Regions from separate parts of the Mus musculus genome. Here region 2 is reported to be linked to region 1. Evidence: microRNA targets listed by miRTarBase, many of them from high-throughput screens and not tested one by one. Region 1 holds a microRNA gene; the other region holds the end of a gene's coding sequence.
What was found. The annotated mature microRNA mmu-miR-675-3p reads CUGUAUGCCCUAACCGCUCAGU and lies in region 1 at 940-961, shown strand. An mRNA with a match to its seed (bases 2 to 7 or 8) in the 3' UTR can be bound and repressed. Matches are read on the target gene's strand: a 7mer-m8 pairs with bases 2 to 8, a 7mer-A1 pairs with bases 2 to 7 and ends in A, and an 8mer does both.

Region 2: the mRNA of Fam214b is a reported target of mmu-miR-675-3p. Seed matches in the 3' UTR shown: 8mer at 1,057-1,064.

The regions. Positions count from the first base shown.
Region 1 is chr7:142,574,958-142,578,038 of GRCm38, reverse strand. It overlaps Mir675 (microRNA 675), which reads left to right and starts at 892; the gene lies at 892-975. It overlaps H19 (H19, imprinted maternally expressed transcript), which reads left to right. Exons shown (of 5, transcript NR_130974.1): 1 at 1-1,210; 2 at 1,296-1,426; 3 at 1,509-1,630; 4 at 1,709-1,836; 5 at 1,925-2,509.
Region 2 is chr4:43,030,856-43,033,936 of GRCm38, reverse strand. Fam214b (family with sequence similarity 214, member B) reads left to right here. Exons shown (of 9, transcript NM_001253353.1): 8 at 1-125; 9 at 249-1,523. The coding sequence ends at 402. It overlaps Stoml2 (stomatin (Epb7.2)-like 2), which reads left to right and starts at 2,553. Exons shown (of 10, transcript NM_023231.2): 1 at 2,553-2,608; 2 at 2,829-2,966. The coding sequence starts at 2,564.

The DNA.
Region 1 (3,081 bases):
TGGAGTCTGGCAGGAATGTTGAAGGACTGAGGGGCTAGCTCAGGCAGAGCAAAGGCATCGCAAAGGCTGGAAAACATCGGAGTGAAGCTGAAGGGCCTGAGCTAGGGTTGGAGAGGAATGGGGAGCCAGACATTCATCCCGGTTACTTTTGGTTACAGGACGTGGCGGCTGGTCGGATAAAGGGGAGCTGCTGGGAAGGGTTCGACCCCAGACCTGGGCAGTGAAGGTATAGCTGGCAGCAGTGGGCAGGTGAGGACCGCCGTCTGCTGGGCAGGTGAGTCTCCTTCTTCTCTCTTGGCCTCGCTCCACTGACCTTCTAAACGAAGGTTTAGAGAGGGGGCCTGGTGAGAAGAAGCGGCTGGCCTCGCAGCAGAATGGCACATAGAAAGGCAGGATAGTTAGCAAAGGAGACATCGTCTCGGGGGGAGCCGAGACAGAAGGAGGCTGGGGGACCATTGGCGACCCCAGGTGGAAAGAGCTCTTAGAGAGAAGAAAGAAGAGGTGCAGGGTTGCCAGTAAAGACTGAGGCCGCTGCCTCCAGGGAGGTGATAGGAGTCCTTGGAGACAGTGGCAGAGACCATGGGATCCAGCAAGAACAGAAGCATTCTAGGCTGGGGTCAAACAGGGCAAGATGGGGTCACAAGACACAGATGGGTCCCCAGCCGCCACAACATCCCACCCACCGTAATTCACTTAGAAGAAGGTTCAAGAGTGGCTCTGGCAAAGTCCCAAGTTTGCCAGAGCCTCAATAACTGGAGAATGGAAAAGAAGGGCAGTGCAGGGTGTCACCAGAAGGGGAGTGGGGGCTGCAGGTATCGGACTCCAGAGGGATTTTACAGCAAGGAGGCTGCAGTGGGTCCAGCCTGCAGACACACCATTCCCATGAGGCACTGCGGCCCAGGGACTGGTGCGGAAAGGGCCCACAGTGGACTTGGTACACTGTATGCCCTAACCGCTCAGTCCCTGGGTCTGGCATGACAGACAGAACATTTCCAGGGGAGTCAAGGGCACAGGATGAAGCCAGACGAGGCGAGGCAGGCGGGGCAGAATGAATGAGTTTCTAGGGAGGGAGGTTGGGTGCAGGTAGAGCGAGTAGCTGGGGTGGTGAGCCAGGGAGGCACTGGCCTCCAGAGTCCGTGGCCAAGGAGGGCCTTGCGGGCGGCGACGGAGCAGTGATCGGTGTCTCGAAGAGCTCGGACTGGAGACTAGGGTAAGTGTCTGTCCCGCTCGTGGTCACCCAGTCTCCTCCCACGCAAGTTCAATTAACTCATGTCTTCATTTCTCCCTATAGCCAGGTCTCCAGCAGAGGTGGATGTGCCTGCCAGTCACTGAAGGCGAGGATGACAGGTGTGGTCAATGTGACAGAAAGACATGACATGGTCCGGTGTGATGGAGAGGACAGAAGGGCAGTCATCCAGCCTTCTTGGTGAGCATACTCCCTGCCACAGGGCTAGTCCGCTCAACCACCTAATTGTCCACCCACTCACTCAGGATTCTGTCCTTTGCAGAACACCATGGGCTGGCGCCTTGTCGTAGAAGCCGTCTGTTCTTTCACTTTTCCCAAAGAGCTAACACTTCTCTGCTGCTCTCTGGATCCTCCTCCCCCTACCTTGAACCCTCAAGATGAAAGGTGAGTTCTCTTCTGCCCCATGTGGGTGGGAGAGGGTGGGATGCCAAGGACAGGGGTCTCATTCTCTCCCACCCATAGAAATGGTGCTACCCAGCTCATGTCTGGGCCTTTGAATCCGGGGACTTCTTTAAGTCCGTCTCGTTCTGAATCAAGAAGATGCTGCAATCAGAACCACTACACTACCTGCCTCAGGAATCTGCTCCAAGGTGAGCTGGGGCACCCTTTGGAAGCTTGCCAAGCCCACTCCCCACCCCACCCCCCGCCCCACCTCATTTGTCTTTATTCTCTTTGCAGGTGAAGCTGAAAGAACAGATGGTGTCAACATTTTGAAAGAGCAGACTCATAGCACCCACCCACCCCTGAGAATCCATCTTCATGGCCAACTCTGCCTGACCCGGGAGACCACCACCCACATCATCCTGGAGCCAAGCCTCTACCCCGGGATGACTTCATCATCTCCCTCCTGTCTTTTTCTTCTTCCTCCTTTCCTGTAATTCTGTTTCTTTCCTTTTGTTCCTTCCTTGCTTGAGAGACTCAAAGCACCCGTGACTCTGTTTCCCCATTTACCCCCTTTTGAATTTGCACTAAGTCGATTGCACTGGTTTGGAGTCCCGGAGATAGCTTTGAGTCTCTCCGTATGAATGTATACAGCGAGTGTGTAAACCTCTTTGGCAATGCTGCCCCAGTACCCACCTGTCGTCCATCTCCGTCTGAGGGCAACTGGGTGTGGCCGTGTGCTTGAGGCCTCGCCTTCCCCTCGCCTAGTCTGGAAGCAGTTCCATCATAAAGTGTTCAACATGCCCTACTTCATCCTTTGCCCCTCCTCACCAGGGCCTCACCAGAGGTCCTGGGTCCATCAATAAATACAGTTACAGTCATTGGTCTCGTGGACTTCAATATAATGCGACTCATGGGGGGAGGTTGGGGGGGCAGGGGAAAGAAATGAGGGAAGGGGAATAAAAGGGATAGGGTACACCATCCATGATGAAGGGGATAATGAAATGGGGAGGGCCTCTAGGATGGAATGGGGAATAGGAGATGGCTTATGAAAAGGTGGGTGGCACTGGGATAGGAGGCTCATGGGATGGCACACAGCGAAAGGCCTCATGGGATGCCAAGAAGCTATGGTATGGAAGGGGCCTATGAATATGAAATGGTGCCTGAAGAACGGGCAAAGCAGTCGACATCACAATTAAAAAATGCCAGAGTGCCATACGGAGACAGAGGCAGGGCTGTGAGCAGGGTCCCTCAAGACAGAGAGGCTGGGGAGGTGAAGGACATCCTTAGCAATGAGAGATGGTGGGCCCAGCCAGAAACCTGGATTCTACACTGCTCCCAAGGTCCTGCCTGGATGACTCTGAGTCCTCACACTAATCCCAACTCCCGAGGCATAATGTAGACTGCACAGTAAATCTGACTCCTTGCAGTAAGGCTCGTAATGGGTAGGCAGC
Region 2 (3,081 bases), not on the chromosome of region 1:
GACTTCTCGGACATGCCTGCTGCCCACATGACCTTCCTGCGCCATCGCCTCTTCTTGGTGCCTGTGGGTGAGGAGGGAAATGCTAGCCCCACCCACCGCCTCCTCTGCTACTTGCTGCACCTCAGGTAAGCCCAGGACCCGGGGAGAGCTGGAGAAGCTCGGGTAGCCATCTGTCCTCTGCCCTCAACAATCTCCCCTTTCTTCTCCATCATCCGGATGCTGACGTGCTCACACTGTCTTCCCCTCAGGTTCCGGAGCTCTCGCTCAGGCCGCTTAAGCCTGCATGGAGATATCCGCCTGCTTTTTTCCCGCCGGAGCCTGGAGCTGGACACGGGGCTCCCCTATGAACTTCAGGCTGTGACTGAGGCCCCCCATAATCCACGTTATTCACCTTTGCCCTGATCGCAAGCATCCTGAACCTAGGTGGGCCCAAAGCCTGCCTGTCCTACCATCCTGGACAGGGTAAACTGTGGAGAAATGGCGAGAGCCCCTTCAGGCTTGAATTAAAGTCCTCATCCCGCTCACGCCCAAATTGACTATTTGGGTGTTTAAAGCTTCGGTCCTTCCATACCCTGTCTGCTCTGGGTACTTCATGTGCCTGTCCCCTCCCTTGGGTTTCCCAGGCCAGCTTAGGTAGTTAGGGAGGAACCAGAGCTACCCTGAGATTGTCCCAAGTTCCCAGGCAAGTAATGCCAGCGTTGCCTCCCTGTCCTGGGCAGGGGCCACTTATTATTTTATTTATTTTTAATTTATAATTTATTCAAATTGGATTGCCTTGGTGACCTCCCAAACCTGATAATTGGCATCACCCCACTCTCAGATATTGCTCCAACCTCAGGACTTGAAGAAGCTGATGTCGGGGCAAGGGGAGAGCTGCTCTCCTCTGGCTAAGGGCAGAGGGTTTATTCCAGAGGAACTGAGTCACTTAGCCAAAGACTCAGCTTCCCTCGGCTTTCTCTATTCCTTTTCCCTTTCCTGCCCTTCAACCCATCTTCGAAAGCCTGTATGTGTGGTGTGTGTGTGTGTGTGTGTGTGTGTGTGTACAGCTGTGTGCGTGCATACAAACTTGGGTTTGTGTAGGGTGTGTGTGTGAGAGAGAGACAGAATGTGCATGTATGTGTAACACAGGGGTTTAGCCACCTCTTACCTAGGGCTCAGACTCACTTGTCCCTCTCCTCCTGCCTGTGTCTCCTTGCTTTGGTGTCCTGACTGAGGAAGGTGTCCAGGGACAGAGTCAGGCCTAAGGACTGGGGAACCTCCTCTCACCTGACCAGACTCTGACCCACCTACCTCAGCTGGGATGAGGGGTGCCCCTCATTCAGTCACATGGTTCCCAGTTACTCCACTCCTCACTTAAGACTCTGACCCAGCCTCAACCCTTAACTCTTGGGGCTTGGCTGAGGGGAACAAGCATTTGCTGAAACTTGAAAAACAAAACAAACAAACAAAAAAATGGGAAAAATTGTACCTGGTACATTTTTTAAGGAAAAAAAAAAGAATAAATTCTTGTTTGGAAACTTGAACTAACCTCTACTTTTTTTTGTGTTCAAGAGGATGGAGATGTGGGGCCTAAAGGGAGCTGGAATTCTGGCAACAAGCTCAAACCCATGAGATCTTAGGCTGGGATGAGCTGAGTCTTGGACCATAGTCTTAGTCCTTTTTGTATAAGGTGCTGGGGGCTGGGTGGGTAAAGTGAAGCTACAGAGGCTAAACTCTGAGAATCTGGATTCTTACACTGATTCTGTAGTTTAGCCCCATCAGAACCTCAGTGTCTGTATATGTAAAATGAAGGAGGAGGAGGAGAATGAGAAGAAGGAGATGAGGGGGGATACAGGCCTCTTAAAGCTTGTATTTGAGAGAGTGTCAGAGACCTGAGCAAGGTTGATGTGTTTCAGACAAAAATGAAAGGCTGAGGCTCTTTGTTTCCCTCTGTATGTAAGGGGATCATGCCTGACCGTTTCTGGCTCAGAAAAAAATATGAAAAAGAGCTGTTGATGCCTTGGGAAAAGAGGGAAGGGAGAAATCTCCGCCCAGTCCTAAGGTAAAGTTAGGCCTCCTAGTTACCATGACAACGGGAATGGGGTCAGTCCCCAGTGGGAGAGCTGGGCACAACAGCATGACTACCCAAGAATGTCACTATGGCAACCACGGGCAACTACTGAGCGCCAATCCAATCCATTGTCGTTATGGTGACAGATTAGGACAGTTATACACGAGCTGGAGGGTAAACTGAGTCACGGCTGTGGGTACAGAATTTGGTGGGCGGTGTTCCTGTACCACTTGCGGACGGAATATTGCCTCAATTTCTACCACAATGCCCAGGAGCTTCGTAGTTTTTGAGAACCAGAACAAACTTGCACTCTCGGGCTCTCTCTTCAAAGCCTACGTTTCCCAGGGAACGATTTGACGGACGCCGACTAGTGGGGATGGGAGGGTGGACTAATACGCCGGAAGTACGTCGGGCGGAGTGGACCAGCTGAAGGAAGGGCTCGGGTTCAGGCTTCACAAGAGGCCGCTCTGCCCCACCTCTCGTTGGTTCCGGAGGTCGCCGAGGCTGTGGGAAATGCTGGCGCGCGCGGCGCGGGGCACTGGAGCCCTTTTGCTGAGGGTGAGAGCGAGGCAACCTTCACCAGAGGCTCGGGACCGACATCACCTGGGTCTTGAGCTGGGAAGGAGTGGGCTTCTAACTTTGGGGGAAGGACTGTGGTCACAGGTCATGGTCCCCACGTGAATCACTCTCCGGGGACCCTTGGGGGGGGTGTCGAGATCTAGGGAGAGGGATTTAGGGATCCGCGCCTGGTCCCCAGCCTACTCTCGTCTTCCTTCAGGGCTCGGTGCAGGCTTCTGGCCGCGTTCCGCGCCGCGCCTCCTCTGGACTGCCCCGAAACACCGTGATCCTGTTTGTGCCTCAGCAGGAGGCCTGGGTGGTGGAGCGAATGGGCCGATTCCACCGGATCCTGGAACCGGTGAGAACCTCTCTTGCCCGCCCTCAGCCAGCCAGATCGTCTGATCGTTTACTCGTGTGGAAGTGGGACTTCCGTCGGGGCCTGTCTGCACTTCTAACCTGCGAGGACCAGTTCT